Linked DNA regions of Stegostoma tigrinum. The protein of the gene in region 2 purifies or fractionates together with the protein of the main gene of each other region. This does not show direct contact. Links are inferred from orthologs where the notes say so. Each region holds a gene or a part of one and is shown on either strand. Other genes may lie near its edges.

Region 1 (10,691 bases), on a different chromosome or scaffold from region 2:
GAAGCATTTAACAGGACGTCAGATTAACTTATGATGGAGAAAGGAAACAAAGTTATACTAATGGTATGCAATGAGGTTCCAGATTATTCCAATAACAATCTGACATGTACAAAATGGGCCAATGACATCTTGTGTTGTAAACTTCCATTTCAATGTTTTCCCTGCATGGTTCTCATTTTCGAATCATTGCTAACTAGCTCTTCCAATTACAACTAAATCTCAGAAATTACTCCCCTCCAAAGTGCTCAATATCGTTGCCTTGCAATTTCACCCCTATCATTCCCAGGTTAAGACCCTCAAATGCAGCTTCCATCTCACCCAAAGTGCTCTGACAAAAATCACAACAGCTAATCTGCATGGTCATAACATGATTTATTTCATACTCTCAGTCACGGCTATGTTGGATTTGTGAACACTCCATTCGCCTTTGAGCCCATCCTCTTTCACTATTCCATTCATACAACATAGCCGGCACTATATCTCCCAAAATGTGTGCTCTTCCCATGCCAAATGAGAGTCAACTAGATCTCTGTTATTTATAGGTTCCCCTATGAGGTTGTATGAAAGCAGTGGTCAGCTTTTAAAGATGATAAAAACACTAATCATTTTCATCTTGAGGCCACATACAAATTCTGAAGCTGTTAAGTCACTCCTCAACTGCCATTAACAAGAGGACATGGAACAATTTTTTTCGCAACCAAATATCAGTAAAGCCAAGTGTTTTGCTATTGCTTGCATGCTTCTGGCCAATTAATGCTAAAGTTACATTTATCCAGAATATGAAAGGGAAAAGCAATGTCACAAGACTAACGCTGACCCTTAAGTAAACGTCAGGCTGTAAACACCATGATGTTAGAACCACAGGATTCAGGCTAAAGCTCAAATTTATTTAAAATCGTAGAATTACACGGTAGCAAAAAGAATACAGCATGTTATCAGCAACACAATTATTATCTTACACAAATAACTCTTTGTGAAAGAAGTGGTCAGCATTTTCATCTTTCTCAGAAACTTTTAACAGTCTAGAGACCAGCACAAAATGGGCTTCCCTTCCCACCGTGGAGTGTCATCGCTGCAGTGAAGTGAAAGCAAAGCAAAACAGAAGCAGGGAGATACTAGATTAGGAAAAGCTGCAGCAATTGAACACTTCACAACAAGATCACAACACTAGATTGAAGCAGTTCTTTCAAACTATCTGTGATACTTCTTTATAAGACAGGTAGATGGACCGTTTGTCAAATGTTTCCTATCTTTCAAGTGGACATAATACAATTGAAGCACAAGCAGAACACGAACAGAATCTTTTCAGTTGTCCTGCATGCTGTTTACTTGGTCTGGCCTGAAACTGTCAGTTTTGGAGTGACATCCCATGACAGTTGCAGCCTTTGCATACATGACATTTGGAGCAGATAACACTTTCTCATACAAACTTTACTTGAATATTATCAATTTTTAAACTAAAACAAGCTTCAAAACAGGTAACTGATCCATTTCACAAGACAGAAGAGCTCTTTTTAGCAAATGTGTGAACATGTTCCCTAGAGATCAGAAACTATTGGCCACACCTTATAGTGATTTAAGAAATAAAGAATTTTATACGTCTGTAGATGACACTAAATTAGAAAAAACATTTTAAGTAGTGCAAGAAGTTCCAAAAAACATTTTTTCTTTTGTATCCAGAGTGTCCTTACATACAACTGAACATTTTGTTTGTCCCCACCACCAAATCACCCACGGTATCTTTTCATCTATTAACCACCATCATAAATCGTCAATATTTTCCAATTGATTAACATGGCACAGTCCATTATTAAAGGGGCAAATGTAGGAAGGTGTATTAAACAATGGAACATGAAATTTGCTCCAGACAAGTACAAGGCCATCTATTTTGGACTCAAGAAAGAGGCCTTTCTCCCCCCTCCCCCCAAGAAAGAGCAAGAAATGTGGACCTATACAGAAACAAAAAGATTTGGAAATCCAATGTGTATGAATTATTTAATAGTAATGAATAGGTACAAAAAGCTTGCAAAAATACGAACAAATATTGGCCTTTATTTTCAATGGGACAGATCTTTATTTGTAATGGAGCAGAGGCTATAGGGTGGTGACTTGGGTACATACCTCAATGCTGACTTATCATAATGATTCTTTAATTTAACATATTATACTATACAGCAAGCTGCCAAAACCTAGCTTAGAGTTTTTAAAATGTTAAAAGGATTCAACAGGATAATACAAGGAAATATTTTCCTCTGAACAAGGAAACAATTTCTAAAATCAGAGTTGGCTTTATAGAGAAAAATCAGTTCGCGCTTCTCAACATAAAACACATATACAAATGAGTATTAAAAATTTGCAATTTGCCCCTCAGAAGACTATGGATGTTGGGACAATTAGAGCTATTAAGCTTGAGATCTATCTTATAACAACTCTTAAACCTCAGGATCATATTATCCCTTAAATGAATCATGTGCCCATTCACCACCACTTACAGCCAACTGGGAATGCTTAGCCTCAGTGCCATTCACCTCAATGGCTCATGCCACCTTCACCAACTCACTGGGGAATTAAAGCGATAGAAGTAAACCTAGGAAGGGAAGGATGGCAGCTAACTGGCCAAGCAAAAAACCAAGTGCACACTGCAATCAAACTGGACTCTGATGAAGGGTCTAGGCCCGAAACGTCAGCTTTTGTGCTCCTGAGATGCTGCTTGGCCTGCTGTGTTCATTCAGCCTCACATTTTATAATCAAACTGGACATCTGTTTCTCCATTCCCATCGCTCCCTCATATCATTAATATCCTGGTGCATAGTTATGAAAGCTCCAAAAGAAAAAAAAGGACCAGCTTCTGCTTAGTTTCGGCTCAATTCCAGCCCGGCTCTTGACAAACACTTCAAAAGGAGCAAGACACGATATGTAACATTTAGGGTGCAACAAGCATTAACTCAAAGCAGACTACACAATAAAAAAAAACCGCAGACGCTATAAACCAGGAACAATAACAAAAGTCGCTGGAAGAGCTCAGCAAGTCTGGCGCATCGGTGAAAAAAAAATCATAACTTCCTGTTCTAATGAAGGGTCACCAGTACTGAAACGTTAACTCTGATTTTTTTTTCTTCACAGATGCTGCCAGGCCTGCTGAGCTTTTCTAGCTGATTACACGAGATTGTTATATTGCTTTTTTCAAGCAATGTTGGAGTCACTGAGGTCATGCATTGGGGGGTTAAAAAAATTCATAAACATCGTAACCTTTATCCAACTATTCTCCCATCCGTGATATTGTTACAAGCGTTCCCTCAAAGTGCTTTCCTAACATTCACAGGCTGTTCGTGTTTGAATGCACACGACCTTTAATTTTCCTTTCCCCAGCAGCACTTAAAGGGGCCAATTTCTGACCGATTTGCACAGTATCTGCACTGTCACGCGTACACGGCAGACCGAGGAGATACTGCTCCTTTCACACAGACTGTGGAGGGCAAATTACTGAATATATTCAAAACACAGACTGATAAATTTGAAAATTTTAAAAGGCACTAGGAGGCATTGTGAGAAGAAAGCTGGAAAAATATGGAACAAAAACAGAAGTCGCTGGAAAAGCTCAGGAGGTCTGTCAGCATCTGTAAAGAACAGAAAAGAAAATCAGGGTTAACGTTTCGGGTCTGGTGACTTCTCCCCTCAGGAGAAAATGGCAAAGGTACAGGATCAGTCACGATCCTGCTGAATGGCAGGGCAGGAGCACAAGGCCAGGCGGCCTAGACGTAACTCCCAGTGTCTAGATATTTACTCAGCAACCTGTTCACACGTTATTTATTATACACGTCCAGAGCGGATGGGACATAACCCCGGCTTCGTGGTTCAGGGGCATGGGGCATTCAATTTTCAAGAGTTTTCAATTGTAGCGATGTGATCTTTCTGAAAAAAAAGACAAGGCTAGTTTTAAATTAGATGAGTCGCCACCGATGCTAGGAAACCTTTAACCTATTTTTGGTTTGTACCTCGCAGAGGAAAAGCTCAGTTTATTTCTCAGACTTTCCTGATTTGGGTTTGTGACCACGGACTTCTGGCCCCATGGTGCTATCATTCCCACACACTTTGTAGTATCCTGGAGAAACGCTGCCAACAAAGGGCTTTAAAACATACACGCCCACCAGTTTAAGAGTAACCAAAATACCGTGAATGCAGTTTCAGAACTTGATCAGATCCCATTATCTGTAGCAGTTAATATTTATTCGTGTTTGTAAATTGAAGCGGGAGGAGTGGGGTGTTTGGTGGTTAAATTTGGGAGGCGGGGGGAGGGAGAAAGAGATGCCCGTCCCGTTTAAACGCGGGGCCAGCGCCTGCGACTTTCGGCGGACAAGCCGAGAGCGGAACCCGCCTCCAAATCGAGGCCCGAGGCCTCAAGGCCTAGAGACACCAGCTCCCAGCCGGTGCGAGTGAAGCCCTCTGGTGGTAACCGTCTCCCCGCCCCGGGGGGAACGACGTTCAGCCGAGGGCTAGGGCCAGGCCTCTCCTGACTACTGGGTCGAGGCTCGGTGTTTTCTTCCCCCACCCCCGGCCGTAGCGCCAGGGCCCGCTCGGACTGACCTGGTATGAAGCTGCGGCCTGCTCTCCGCGCCGCCTGGAGACCTCCCCTTTAAGAGCCGGCCCTCGCCCTTTGTCCCTGCTTCAGCCGCTGTGACGTGGCGCCCGTTTAAAGGTGCCGGGCGGCCCGACTCCCTCAAGAGCTGTGGCCGACACAAAATCGAAACAAGATAACCATGAGACTCTCACTCCCGACAACTCCCTGAGCGTAGGCTGCAATCAGTCCCCTCCCCTCACCGACGGTCAGTAGCAGCAGTAAACCGAACTGCACTGCAGAATGTGTGCTGTACACCGAAATGCACTGCAGAATGTGTGCTGTGCACCGAAATGTACTGCAGAAATTCGCCAAAGATCCTTAGCAGCTTCCAAACTCAGCACCACTTCCATCTGGAAAGACAAGGACCGCAGACACTGCATAGGGGAACACCGGCTCCTGCAAGTTCCCTCCAAGTCACTCACCATCCTGACCTAGGATATATTGCTGTTCCTTTATGTCACTGGGTCAAAATCCTGCAATTCCTTCACTGAGAACATTATGGGGCTATGTATACCAAAAGGACTGCAGTGGTTCAGGAATGTAGCTCACCATTGGGAACAGCATGGTGGTTCAGTGGTTAGCACTGTTGCTTCACAGTAACGTGAACCCGGGTTTGATTTCACCCTTTGGTGACTGCCCGAATTGGCACATTCTCCCCATGCCCTTGTGGGTTTCCTCCCCCAGTCCAAAAATGTGTAGGTTAGGTGGATTGGCCATGCAATTGCCTGTAGTGTTCAGGGATGTGTAGTTTAGGTAGGTTATAAGGGAATGGATCTGGGTGGGATGCTCCAAGGATTGGTAAGCACTTGTTGGGCCAAAGGACCTGTTTCCACATTGTAGGGGATTCAATTCTATAATCACCTTCTCAAGGACAACTAGGTTTGGACAACAAACCAGCAATGCAATACCCCACTAATGAGTTTAAAAAAAAGCATAGTTTGAAATTAAAATGTTGCCATATCCTAATGTACACATCCCTGTTCTAATCCAATTTCTAAAAGATACTGCAGATGCCAGAGATCTGAAACGAAAACAGAAAGTGTTGGAGAAACTCAGCAGGTCCAACAGCCTTTTTAGCGAGGTAGTGAGAGAACTGAAATAGAGTCGTCTCTGATTTTGTCTCCATATGTGCTACAGAACTGTTGTGGTTCTCCAGCATTTTCTGTTTCTAATTGAAATATGTTTGCCAATTCAGAAGCAGGATTATGTCTGATGAAGGGTCTAGGCCCGAAACGTCAGCTTTTGTGCTCCTGAGATCTGCTTGGCCTGCTGTGTTCATCCAGCCTCACATTTTATTATCTTGGATTCTCCAGCATCTGCAGTTCCCATTATCTCTTATGAATTTGCTCTTTATGTTGAGGGCAGCCCAATGCCTTTTATGACATTTTACTTCCAAAATGTAGCTGCTGCTATGTAAATACATCAAATCTATTCCTCAAGTAGCAAATGAGACAAATGATAATTAGTTTTCATGGAATTGAGTTGAAAAAAGAATGTTTAGCAGGGCATGAAGAAAAATTCTAATTGAATCTGATATTTATATTGACCGCGGTAACATTCAAGAACAGGCTAATTCTCCTGTTTGTAGCATTGAAGAGATCAAGAGTGGCTTGCAAATCTGGTGCAGTGTGAACAAAGACAATTGCCGTCACCCGCAAACTCTTAATCATGTATATCTTGGCTGGCAGAACACTTTTGGCACAGAGTGCATTGATCACTCAAGTAAACCTTGCCTGTTTTTTTCACTGGGTGGCTTGAATACTGGGTGACTGATTGCTATTACTCATTTTGTTAAAGTTGCAGATTATTTCCTTGGTATCTGCTTTACCTCTTGGAAATTTGAGGCAACTGACTCTGAAACTAGACATGGGCAATAAATATGGCCTTACCATTTCTCACGTGTCTAGACTTAAATAGGAAGTGAGTACAGATCTACAAATATAATTCAGAAACACTAAACTATTACTTCTATTGTGATCCAGTTAGGAGGTGTAAACTGATTTCTTATTTCACACTTCTCATTTGTCCGAACGAAGTTTGAATTTCAAAACAAAGGTAATAATTATGATTAAGCGTATCTAACTCAGTATCAAGTCAGCCAGAAATAATTTATTGCCAAATAATTTTGCTCAAGCAATGCTATAATGATTTTTTTAACAAAAGTTTACATTATACAAATACGTACATCTGCCCTTGTTGAAAACTAACATACATATGAACAACCTTCAAGGCAGGGAAATAAAACGTAAATCCTCTGCTTTGTTACCTACAAAATTCCTTGGTCAAGGAACTGTTAAACTCAGGAAAAAGAATTATTCACAATTTGTCCAAATGACAGTCTGAAGCCAAAGTCACGTTGCACAATTAGTGTTGGGGTGTCCTCCTGGATCAATTTTAGCTCACTGAATTCACTTTTTGAGTTCAAATTCTCTTGTCAGAACTCTCCATTTGTGGTGGTGGAATTTTCCAGTGAGTTTTCAACTCTCATACTGAGATGAGAGGGATTTCAGAGAATAGCGAAGGCTGTTGCTCTAGTTAAATTCTCTCTCTGGCTCTGTGTTCAATCCTTTTTGTGTTGATATGTTTTATTAGTCTCAAAAAATACAATATGTGGCCTCTTTCTGAAGCTAATGCAAACTCAGTGACTCCAACCAAGAAGCTTGTAGTTTTTGGAAATTAAACATTTTCCCATTGCAGTCAGTCTCCTTTTCTTGCAAAGTGTTCTCTCCAAATAGTCAAAGATTTTGAAAAATGTCCAGACAATGATATTCTAAATTAATATTTCTGATAGCATATCTTCATAACAACTCCCATTGAAGGATGATGATGTGTCATAGAATATACTACAGGTTACTGTCATAATGCAAAATAAAATTCTATTGTCAGATCTCACCTCCACCCATTGGTAGGATTCCAATGTGCATCACTGTTCTCACATTGCGATTTCTCTGGCCTACCTGTGGCATTTGTAAAAAGAAGCTAAGTTTCTATGTACAGATTTACACAAAGATTACTTGATGATACAAACTAGCAATGGCATTGGTCCAATCTCAGGTCTACATCAAGTTACCCGATCTCTGTTTGGAGGAACCAATAGTAGACCACAATTAGTCTCAGCTAGGGGTAGAGTGAGATCAAATTGCTCAGGATTCCCACTCTTATTTGCTGTCTAACACCTTCTGGAATGTGCTGGTTGAGGATTGGGATATTCCTGTCCTGTGATCAAATAGTCTGCCGTCAGTCACAAAAAAATAATCAGCAGATATAATGGGAACTGCAGATGCTGGAGAATCCGAGATAACAAAGTGTGGAGCTGGATGAACACAGCAGGCCAAGCAGCATCTTAGGAGCACAAAAGCTGACATTTCGGGCCTAGACCCTTCATCAGAAAAGGGGGAGAGGGGGAAGATGGATTGAAGATGGATAGAGGCAAGATAGGTGGAGAGGAGACAGACAAGTTAAAGAAGCGGATATGGAGCCAGTAGAGGTGAGTGTAGGTGGGGAGGTAGGGAGGGGATAGCTCAGTCCAGGGAGGACAGACAGGTCAAGGGGGTGGGCCATAGTCAGCAGATGCTTTTGGAACAATCCTTTAAATAATAGTGCATACCCTTAAGTGACAAGGAAACAAGAAACTTAGTGGATAAAAGGAAGCCAGTAAATCAAATATCACTGTGTTCTTCACCAATTTAAAATTTTTAAAAAATCTTTTTTTTGTCAGTTGTATGAATAAGTAGGTAAGTGTTTAATTATGGCTTTATTCCAGTGAAGGTTATTGCATTTTTCAAATGCAAAAATGGAGACATAACTAAACAAAGGCAGAGAAGAGCAGAATATGATAACCTATGATCTCAACTTTGCTTTATTCACAGCCATTAGTTTGTTTTGGGAATGTTGATTGAGGGCTACATATTGGCTAAGACCTTCCTGTTCCTCTTTGAAACAGCATAGGGAATCTTTACATCCAGAAAGGGCAGATGGAGCTTCAGTTTAACATTCCATTCGTACATAAGGTAGCAAATCCCTGCCATGCCAGTTCAGATTCTGAACTCTAGTGTTTGGTGCAGGAGGGATGGGTAATAATTTGTCTAGCCCAGGAAGATGGATTTTAAAACGGGGCCAGGAAAAACCTGGGGCATCAGGTTCGCCACCTAATTCACTGCTGCCTCTTAGTGATTTGAAGACGGGACAGTTTGGCAATGGCTACCTATCCACCACAGGTAGATAGCCAACCAAATAAATGAAGTTGGAAGAGATTGTTGACACCACAATCACCAACAATCTTCCCTGCTGAGTCTGGATGTTGGCGGCCTCTTGGAGGCATCTTAGAACATAGAACATAGAACAGTACAGCACAGAACAGGCCCTTCAGCCCACAATGTTGTGCCGACCATTGATCCTCATGTATGCACCCTCAAATTTCTGTGACCATATACATGTCCAGCAGTCTCTTAAATGACCCCAATGACCTTGCTTCCACAACTGCTGCTGGCAACGCATTCCATGCTCTCACAACTCTCTGCGTAAAGAACCTGCCTCTGACATCCCCTCGATACTTTCCACCAACCAGCTTAAAACTATGACCCCTCGTGCTAGCCATTTCTGCCCTGGGAAATAGTCTCTGGCTATCAACTCTATCTATGCCTCTCATTATCTTGTATACCTCAATTAGGTCCCCTCTCCTCCTCCTTTTCTCCAATGAAAAGAGACCGAGCTCAGTCAACCTCTCTTCATAAGATAAGCCCTCCAGTCCAGGCAGCATCCTGGTAAACCTCCTCTGAACCCTCTCCAAAGCATCCACATCTTTCCTATAATAGGGCGCCCAGAACTGGATGCAGTATTCCAAGTGCGGTCTAACCAAAGTTTTATAGAGCTGCAACAAGATCTCACGACTCTTAAACTCAATCCCCCTGTTAATGAAAGCCAAAACACCATATGCTTTCTTAACAAGTTTCTTACCAGAGGCAGGCCCGGCCCTCTGTCACCGCTACCATGACTCTACCAGAAAAATGCGAAGGCCACAGCCTGATTAAATTCTTTCCTGATGACCCTAAGAGCTGTGCGCATGTTGTTTTCTCAAGTATTAAATCGAGCGCCTGCAGGTATCTCCATTGTGAAGCTCCTATGCGATTTCCTTCCTGTCAGTTGTGTGAACTTCTAGCTATGGATCATCTATGCAGTGCTTCAGGCTCTCCTTTTGGGCATTCTTGTCTCGGGAGACTGTTCATCATCTTGAATTAGATGGCTACACAGAGGTGGCCTATTAATTAAATTATGCCAATGACAGAATATTTTTCATTATTTCATTAAAAGTCATGAGCACTACCAGCTTTACCAGTTCTATTTCCCCATGAGTCAATAATCTGCACTGTGAGTTCTGAGGAGTACTACAGGTTAAAACAGTACAAAGTGCTATTGTGGTTCAATTGTATTTGCAGTCATTCATTTTATTAATTCACTTTTTGTTACTGCATTTATAATGCATTGGAGCAGTAGTTTAAGAATCTTTGGTGCCCTTTTAAATCATTGCAATTTTTAATACAAGTTCAATGTGCTTTATACAGCACATTAGATTCCCTACAGTGTGGAAACAGGCCCTTCGGCCCAACAAGTCCACACTGCCCCTTGAAGCATCCCACCCAGACCCATCGCCCTATAACCCACACACCCCTGAACACTATGGGCAATTTAGCATGGCTGATCCACCTAACCTGCACATCTTTGGACTGTGGGAGGAAAATGGAGCACCCGGAGGAAACCCATGCAGACACAGGGAGAATGTGCAAACTCTGCTCAGACAGTTACCTGAGGCTGGAATTGAACCCGGGTCCCTGGTGCTGTGAGGCTGCAGTGCTAACCATCGTGCCGCCCCATTGGAAGGACATTGTTTAGCAATAATGTAAGCCTGCATGCAAATTAATATATTTGCCTATGACACTAATCTGGGGAAGTGGAACATATTTAATAATAATTTTCAAATCAACCTGTTCACAGTTGTTATTGCATACCTCCGGAGCAAAATGGACTTGAATCCATATCTCCTGACCCAGAGGTAGGGACATTAACACTGCACGAC
Region 2 (10,115 bases):
ATGACAATGCAGGAAAACAGAACATGAAAATGACACACATTGCAATACCTTCCGTAATGTTCTGGCTTTGGAATCGTCTTTCAAATTTGGACAGCACATGAGCTTTTAGAAAACAAATTACATGCAGGAATCAGAAGGATGCATTTGTAAAATGTGACACGATTGCAGCGATTTTGTCATGAGAATTTCGTAAAAGTGGCTACTTCCAACAGAACAGGACTGGACTTTGATGAAACTACAATGACTGCTGACACTGTGACACAACATCAATATCACATGATTGTGAGGTTACGCCTTGGAATTGGGATTCCATGAAGACTGACATGTTGAGTGAGAGGGGTCTGCCAGTGAGACAGTTGAAGATGGAAAGTCATTTGATAACATGTCTCAGGATATTTCCACACAGAGTTGGCAAATCTATACCATTGATCGTTTGAAAAACAGAGTCGAGCTGTCAGCGCCGAAACAGTTCTGACAATTTCTTTGAAGGTGTCAAGGGGATTATGGTGGTGGTTTCTCCCATGCCAGGCAAGGGGGGAAAAGGTGTAAATTATTTTAGAAAAACAATCACCCATGGGAATTTCATGAAAAAATCAAAGCTGTTTGCCAAAACTGGGATGTCCACTGTTGCCTCGGCTTGCACTTGGATTGAGGTGGGTGCAGAATTGGCTTTAGGGTTTTTACAATGTTTAGGTCAAGGGTTCAGATTGGAGTTCAAATGGAGGAGCAAAAGCAACCCTTCAGTTCATTGCGTGTGCTCCACCATTCAATTCTTGTCTCCACTTTCCCACCTTTTCTCCATAATCAATGTCCACACTGATTAAAAATCTCTCTCTCAGCAATGAATGCACATAATAATTCGGCTTCTACAACCCACTACAGGAAAGAATGATATAGGTTCGCTATCTGTAAGAGGAAATTCTTCTCCATCTGGGTCATAACTGGGGGACTCCTTACTCTGAGATTACGCCCTCTGGTGAGAGACTCACCCACACAAGCAAACAACTTCATTTAATCTACCCTATCATTTGTCCTAAGAATCTTGTAGGTTTCAATAAGTTAGCCTCCCATTCCTCTAAATTTCAGTAAGTACAGACCCAACTGATACAACTTCTCAAATAAGAAAACCCCTCCATACCCAGAATCAACTGAGTGAACCTTCTCTGGACAGCCACCGATGACAGTACATCTTTCCTTAAATAAACAAACTGTTTACACCATCCCAAGTGTGGTCTACCTAGTGCCTTGTGCAGTTTTATCAAGAAGTCCTTGTTTTGTACTCCATTCCTGCTGAAATCAATGCCAACATTCCATTTGCTTCCCTATTACCCACTGAACTTCACAGAATCAATATGGAAACAGGCCATTTGGTCTGTCAAGTCCGCACCAATGCTCCAAAGAGCATTACTCCCCTCCCACCAACCCATTCCTGCAGCCCTGCATTTCCCATGGTTATTCTACCTAGCCTGCACATCCCTGAACACTATTGGCAATTTACTTTGGTCAGTCTACATAGCCTGCACATCTTTGGGCTGTGGGAGAAAACAAAAGCACCCAGAGGACAATCAACGCAGACATGGGGAGAATGTGCATATTCCACACAGTCCTCCCCAGGGTGGAAGTGAACCAGAGTCCCTCAAACTGTGAGGCAGCAGCACTAGCCGCCCAGCCACTGGGCCATCTAAATGCTAGCATTTTGGATCTATGCGTGAGGACACCCAAATCCTTCTGTGCTGCATCTTTCTCCACTTATTCAAATAATATTCAGCATTTCTACAAAAAATAAAAACCAAAGAACGAGGTTCCGCATGGCAGACTAACTGGTTAAGTTAGATGACATGGGATTCAGGGTGAGCTTGCCAACTGAATACAAAATTGGCTTAATGGCAGGAGACAGACATAGGTGGTGGAGGGCTGTTTTTTTTCAGATTGGAGACCTGTGACCTGTGGTGTTCCACAGGGTTCAGTGCTGGGTCCACTTTTGTTTGTCATTGATATGCGAATACAGAGAGCATTGTTAATAAGTTTGAGGATGACACCAAAGCTGGTGATATATCAGATAGTGAAGGTGGTTATCTAGGATTACAAAGGGATCTCGATCAATTGGATCAATGAGCTGAAGTGTAACAAATAGAGTTTAATTTGGATAAATGCAAGTTGTTGCATTTTGGTAGGTAAAACAAACAAAGGCAAGACTTATACTATTAAAAATAGATCTTGGGTAGTGTGGGAGAAAAGAGAGAACCAGGAATCAGGTACATAATTCTTTGAAACTGGCATCATGTAAAATTAGGGTGGTTAAGGTGTTCAGCATGCTTGCCTTCATTGCTCAGACCTTTATATTTTGGAGTTGGGACGTTATGTGGCATTGGTAAGGCATCTTCTGGAGTACCATGTCCAGTTCTGGTCTCCTGATACAGGAATGATATTATTAAACTGGAGAGGGTTCAGAAGAGAGTTACCAGGATGTTGCAAGGAACAGAAGGTTTAAGTTATAAAGGAGATGCTGGATAGGTTGGAACTTTTTCGACTGGAGCGTAGGAGGTTAAGGGGTAACCTTATAGAGGTTTATAAAATCATGAGGAGTATAGATAAGGTAAATGACAGGTGTCTTTTCCCTTGGGTGGAGGATTTCAAGACTGGGGACATATTTTTAAACGGAGTGGAGAAAGATTCAAAGAAGACTTGAGAGGCATTTTGTTTTTTTAACAGAGAGTGGTTCATGTGAGGAATGAATTTCCAGAGGAAGTGGGGGATACGGGTACAGTTACAACATTTAAAATACATTTTAAAGTACATGAAGAAGAAATGTTTGGAGGGATATGTGCAAAGTGCAGGCAGGGGGGACCAGTTTAATTTGGGATTGTGGTCGGCATGGGCTGTATGGACCAAAGAGTCTGTTTCTGTGCTGTATGACTCTATAACGCAGATGCTAAAAATCAGAAACAAAAACAGTATTTGCTGGAAAAGCTCAGCAGGTCTGACACCATCTGTGGTATAATAACATTATTTCATGAAAAATAAAATCCACAAGAACTGCAGGTGCTTTAAATCAGGAACAAGAGCAAAAATTGCTAGAAAAGCTCAGCAGATTGCTCTTTTGGTCCTCTTGCCAAACTAGGGAGAATGGAAGATCTGAATATTATTTAAATGGGGAAAACCAGAGAAAGTTGCACAATAGATGAATTTGGAATTCTTTTTCATGAATCACAAAATGCTGATGTCCAAGTTCAGTGGGTAAAAGGGAACACAATGGATTATTGGCTTTTATTTCAAGGGGAATGGAGTATTAAAAACAGAAAGGTCTCGTTAAAACTATTCAAGGCTTTAGTCAGCCCACATCTAAAATATTTTGAACAGTTTTCATCCCCTTATCTAAGGAAAGATGTACTGGTGTTGGAAGCAGTCAAGTGAAGGTTCCCTGGGTTGACTCTGGGTATGAAGGGATTTTCTTATAAGGAATGCCCTGCCTGCAATAGTAGTAGACTCACCAACTATAAGGGCATTTAAATGGTCAGTGGATAAACATATGGAAGATAATGGAATAGTGTAGGTTAGATGGGCTTCAGATTGGTTTCACAGGTCAGCACAACATTGAGGGCCGAAGGGCCTGTACTGTGCTGTAATGTTCTATGTTCTATTAGGACTGTACATAACTAAACGTTTCCTCACTTACACTCCATCTGCCGAGATCTTGCCCACTCATGTAATCTCTCCACGTCCCACTTGAGACTGTATTATCCTCACCACTCGCTTTCCCATTTATTTTTGCATCATCTGAAAACTTGGTTACTGTACACTCATTTTCTGCATCCAAGTTGGTATCATATATTGTAAACAATTGTGGCCCTTGCAATACTCCAGGAGTTGCTATCCTGAAATTACCCCCCTCATCCTAACTCTATTTCAGTTAGTCAGCCAATCCTCTATTCACACTCAAAACAAAGGGTCTAGACTCTTCCCAAGAAGGGTCCAGACCTGAAACGTCAGCTTTCCTGCTCCTCTGATGCTGCTTGGCCTCATGTGTTCATTCCAGCTCTACACCTTGTTATCTCAAAACAACAGACTCCTCGAAATGTAGTCTAATGAGGTACTTTATTAAACGCCTTTTGGAAATGGTGCGCATCTGGTTTATGAGTGGGTTCAGGCTGTAGCTCTAAAAATTCAACATAGTATTAGTATCAGGGTAGGTATCGATTTCGGGAATGGATTTCGGGTTAGAATTATGATTAGCTGCTTTAGCTGGGGTTTAGTTTTACGTTCTGCTTTGGGTTCAGGGTTAAAAATTTGAATATTGCAAAGATTTAAAAATGGAGAAACAGTAAGGCCCGCTTTCAACACCGGCTGGGGAAGGTCTGCACTGTCCTGACATTCCTTCTCGATTAATGACAACCCGATTTCCCTAGTTCTCCCTGAGGATCGGAACGACACATCGATCCCAGGCCACCGCTGCCTCTTCCTCCCTTCCTCTTACCGATTAGGAAATCGGTGATCCCCTCGTTGAGCGTCTCTTGCGGCGCTTTCCTCTTGCTCATGGTGGCGAAGGACGATAAAGTAACCAGGCAACCTAACGCTAGCCGTCACTTCGCGTGACCGTCGGCTCTGACAAGGCTCTCCCCCTCCAAAACCCGGGGATGTCCTGTCAGGAAAAGGCCAGGCTTCAGCCGCGCTGCTAGGCCGCGTGCGCGCGACCAACGGCCAGCTGGGATTTAAACCCGAACGGCCGCGCGCGTGACCCAACCGTCACCCAGATTACAGGTACCATCAAAACTTATTTGTGGCAATGTACAATCACGTGTTGTTTTAACATAGGCATCCCGGAACAATTATTGTTTGATTTACTTTATTTTGCGCTCCGTTTACACATTGAAATTATAGGATTCTTTTCACGAATGGCCGTGGAGACAATGAAAGTTCCTCACCCCACTGTTCAAACCATGTTGTTTTCCCCAGGACATTCGTCATCACCAACCCCGACCCTTTCAAACGACTTGCATATTGTGTGTGTGTCCGTCCAGAAGTGCTCTTACACACAACTGAACGATTTCCCCGCCCCATCACCAAATCACCCGTGTCAGACTCGTATTTACATAGCATCTTTTATTATCCCATAGCCAATGCCTCCATGTGAGAATGTAGTCGAATCAGAGTGAAAGGGGTTCCTGGCGTGGGCGTTCTTGTCATTTAACAGGCCACTTCAGGGGTTAATTCCGTTCCCCCCCGTCTTCTCTGCTGGCTCTCTGCCTCATTAACTCGCGAGACAGAAAGCTGGATGGCCGATTCAGCACGAGTAAACTCCTCCGAGTCGCTAATATCAATGTTTCTGGGCTTCCAACAGTGCCTCAGATTAATTTACTCACAAGATGTGGCCAGCACTGGCTGGACCAGCTCTTATTCCCCATCAGCAATTGCTCGAGGAGGTAGTGCTGAGTTTGCTGTGAAGAGCATCATTTGACCTCTCCAGTAACGGCAGTTGAGAAAACAGAACCTGAAGAGGTTTGGGGAGGGGAGGAAGTAATACTTAAGAGTTAATGTCCTGCTGATCCTGAAGCTCCATTTTGAAGTATACTAGATGATTCAGACCAGTATAGGTCAGTCAGAAGCTTTACTAATTTTGCTTCTGCTGATGGGAGAAACACTTTAAAGCCCTCTGTCCACAGTGTCCACACGAAAATTTTGATTTTTGAGATCGAGTTCTCATAACAATGTAATGCTGGCTAGATCATCTATTCTCACAATATCGGCTGAAGGATAAATTAGCCAAAACTGCAGGGAAAACTCCCCTGTACTGCAAAGCAATCTTTTATATCTACCCAACATATTTAACATTTCATACAACAACTGTGCAGCAACATGGAATACCAGTCTTAATTTTTGTACTGAAGTAGGTCCTGAATTATGATCCTAACTGATGGTAACATTGTGAAGTCTGATTTGAATCTATCCAATGAAACCTAAATTGATAAACCATAAATTTTATTTCTGTATGTTTTGGGCTCTCTGATGAAGTGTCTAGGCGCGAAATGTCAGCTTTTGTGCTCCTAAGATGCTGCTTGGCTTGCTGTGTTCATCCAGCTCCACACTTTGTTATCTTGGATTCTCCAGCATCTACAATTCCCATTATCAATGATAGTAGGAACTGCAGATGCTGGAGAATCTGAGATAACAAGGTGTAGAGCTGGATGAACACAGCAGGCCAAGCAGCATCAGAGGAGCAGGAAAGCTGACGTTTCAGTCCTAGACCCTCTGGCTTGCTGCAATGTTCCAGTGAAGCTCAGCACAAGCTGGAGGAACAACACCTCATTTTCCGCTTGGGGACACTACATCCCTCTGGACTCAATATTGAGTTTAATAACTTTACGGCCTAAACACCCCCATGTCCCAGCCCCCCCACCCCACTCACCAGGCCTTGTTACCACATAGCCCGTCACTATACACCCTCTGTTGTTAGTCACTAACAGTCCCCATTAACAACTGTTCACCCTCCGAGCCTGATTGTTAGCAATTCTTTTGTCTGTCCAACTGTCTTCCTCTCTCTTTGGGCTCTGTCTTATTGTTTACTCCCTACCCCACATACCTCCCTATTTTCTGCATATAAACTGACATTTTCGCAGCCACCATCGGTTCTGAGGAAGGGTCACCAGACCCAAAACATTAACTCTGTTTTCTCCTCCACAGATGCTGCCAGACCTGCTGAGCTTTTCCAGCAACTTTGTTTTTGTTGCCTCTGATGCTGCTTGGCCTGCTGTGTTCATCTAGCTCTATGCCTTGTTATTAAAGAATATCAATGTTTATTACACACAACAGGGGAAAAATACATACAAGAACTGTGAAACATTTTTTTAAACAATTCAGCCCTTTATCCTCAACAGTAAAACAATATCTTACAGACATTCAAAGTCCAGTGAAAATTCAGTGAAGATTTTCAAGTTTCTTGTTGCATTTAAGTGGTTGGACTTGGCTTCTTTGCAACAAACTTCTGAATTCATTCAATGCTACTTCTTCAACTATTACCTCTTCCCAAGAGTTTTAAACAAACTGCTAACGCTCTTCACTTATTTCCTAACATAGATTTTTTAAAACTCCTATTCCACAGACTTCTGTTTCTGGAGCTTTCTCTTCCTGACAATATAACCACTCGAGATCTTTCTCCGAACACCACTTTGCACACTGCTAGGTTAACAAGGACTTTACAGACATAGACCTGTCTTCTCTTGCAGAAACCTGTACACCTCCTGCCTGGCTCGCTCTTTCTAAAAGAGCTGGTTCCTGTCTATGTCTCTGTCTTTGTCTCCCTGTGTCATAGGGCAGCTTCTTGCTAGACAACAGCACTTTTTCCCCCACACCCTTGTTTTATTAAAGCACTGAACTCTTCATAGAGTCATACAGCATGGAAACAGACCCTTTGGTCCAACGTCATCCATGCCACCCAAATTACCCAAATTAGTCCTACTTTAAATGCATGTTCGTATGTTTCCATATATCCTGTTCACTGAACTCAAAAATGAAACTTAAGTCCTTCCTAACATACATAATGAAGAAACTGAAGGCCCTTCCCAATTTAGATTGCAAGTCTCCAAAGGAAATCATGAACTTTCATCACAATTGAACTAGTTTCCTCCTGTAACAGACTGTTTTCCACTGACTGAGCTGCATCGGAATCAAGTCCCTTTTTGCAAAAAAAATTATAAATATGTGGACCATTATGTTGATTACAGCAGCTGTTTGGCCTGTTCCCATGTATGTTACAAGAGAACTACAACTTGACAAAGTAGCGCAACTGTTGATCGGAGGAATTCCATTTCTAACAAGCAATCCTATTTTACATTCAATATAGTCTAACATTATTGACGCTGTTTTTTTGGAATGTGAATGGGAAATAACATTTTGAATATGAAAACCATGACTGTATAATTAGAGATATAAAACCAACCTGCTGAATTATTTTGCTTTTGACTTGAATAGTTAGAAACTTACATCCTCATTAACATGTTGCACGTAAATCTAAGCAGTGTTATATCCTTAAGTGTGCAGCGTTATGGACCAGACCAAAACTCAACATTCAGAACATAGTCTAAACTCTAACTTTTTTTTTATTTTAAGGTTAACGTTAAGTGTTGCATTTCAGATACAATTCGCTTGGTTAAACTACCAGATTTAAAGCAAAACACATTTTATGAGAGTCATAGAGCTTTACAGCATGGAAGCAGACCCTTCTGTCCAACTCGTCCATGCCAACCAGATATCCTAAATTAATCCAGTCTCATTTGACAGCATTTGGTTCATATCCTTTTATACCCTTCTTATTCATATACCATCCAGTTGCCTTTTAAATGTTGTAATTCTAACAAACTCCAAATGTCCAGAGATATGAGATACTAGATAGCAAAGGCAGCAGCTGTGCAGGTTACTGCTGTGTCAAACTGCAGTGTAAGTTTCTTTCTCCATTTGAATCACTGTTTTTGTCTCTCTTCCTCCTTTTTAAAGTGACATTGTTTTGATTTTATTTTCCTCCCAAAGTTCCAAAACAATCGAACAGCTTAAAGAATAGCAATTATTGCTCCTAGAATTTGAGGAAATCAGTACCAACACTGAAAATACATCAAGGGAGCAGCTCCTACAGCCGTAATGTTTTTCCCATCCTCCATCTTGAATTACCTAGAGTTCCAACTTTTTAAAACAAAACCTCAAGGCCATACATGCACTTTAGTCTAGTAGTTCTGCTAGACTGCTCGATATCCCGCCTTAAAACCTCTCTTCAAAAAAAACCTGCACAAAATAACCACTGTTAAAGCCTGCTATCATCACAATAACCAGGTACCAGTTATCATGATGATTAAGCGCAGTGAGGGACAGAAGAAATGTACAGCCACTGGCCCCAACACTCTTTTACATGATGACATGAAACTGGTCTTGTCCAGGCAATGAAAGATTCAAGAGAGAGCGAACCTAACAATTTCACCTTGAAATGCAATTGCATTACCGTGAATACCACGCAGGCACAATTACCAAATAACAGCTACAGACCAAAAACACAAATGGACCTATGACATAAAAGCAATGGCTACAAGAGCAGGTCAGATGCTGGGATTTTATGGCGAGTAACTCACCTCTTGACGTCCCAAAGCCTTCAAGAATCGACAAAGCTCAAGTCAGGAATGTGATAGAATACTCTCTCCTTGCCTGGATGGTGCTGCCAACTATAATGAAGAGCATTTACACCAATCAGTCCATTTGACTGGCAGCCCATCCACCATCATTCACTCCCTCCACCGTTGAAACACAGTGGCAACAGTGTGTACCACTGACAAGATGCAATGCAACAACTCAAGGTGGCTTCAGCAGCACCTTCCGAACTTGCAAACTACCACAAATATGGACAATGGTAGCAGATGATGGAAACACCACAACCTGCAAGTTCCCCTCCAAACCACTCACCATCTTGATTTAGAACCATATATGAAGCTATTCCTTCACTGTCACCAAGTCAAAATCTAGGATCCCTCTTGCAAACACAATTCTAGCTGTATTCACACCACATGGACTTTTGCAGTTCACCATCACTTTTGCAAGGGATTAGGGATTCACACAGAAGCTGATTTGACAGCTGATTTCACTTTCCACGAAATCATGTTTTTAAACACATCTTCAGGACAACCTAGAAGCATTACACAGCCATCGAGTACTTTCAAATTACATTTAAAAATTAAACAAAAAGAAAACATAAACTCAGGATCTCCATAGCTTTGTGACCTGAAAATGAATGAGTTTTAATTCAACAAAAATGAGGATATAAGGGTGAGAAAATCTCAGGACAGCATATTTTTGGGCAAGGAAAAACAATGTGGGAAAATAACACATCACCTTGATAAATATTATCGATGTGTTGTGCTGTTTGTGCTTGTGTAATCTTGTTATTATCATTATCATGTTGTACTATTCTACCTGCTGTCCTTGAAATTATGGTTGAGTGTCCAGACATTTGCTTTCATTTAGTGTTAGCTAGCTCTGAAAGAATGAAAACTCACTTTTATTTTAAAATGTTAATAAATTTAATGAAAAAGCATTGCTATTACAGAATTAATATTCAATTATATTGATTAAAATCTGACAAT

The links.
Region 1: the proteins of polb (region 2) and lig3 purify together in Homo sapiens (affinity purification with mass spectrometry; 3 studies listed by BioGRID and IntAct, counting the BioPlex papers as one, with this or other methods). This does not show direct contact. The link is inferred for Stegostoma tigrinum from reciprocal best matches to the Homo sapiens genes POLB and LIG3.

Annotation. Positions count from the first base shown.
Region 1 is NC_081380.1:10,338,190-10,348,880, forward strand, and holds the start of lig3 (DNA ligase 3), read right to left. Parts: upstream 4,894-10,691; 5' UTR 4,585-4,893; intron 3,913-4,584; 5' UTR 3,250-3,912; intron 1-3,249. UniProt on the Homo sapiens protein: Isoform 3 functions as a heterodimer with DNA-repair protein XRCC1 in the nucleus and can correct defective DNA strand-break repair and sister chromatid exchange following treatment with ionizing radiation and alkylating agents.
Region 2 is NC_081393.1:16,182,809-16,192,923, reverse strand, and holds the start of polb (DNA polymerase beta), read right to left. Parts: upstream 4,708-10,115; 5' UTR 4,536-4,707; coding exon 4,475-4,535; intron 103-4,474; coding exon 49-102; intron 1-48.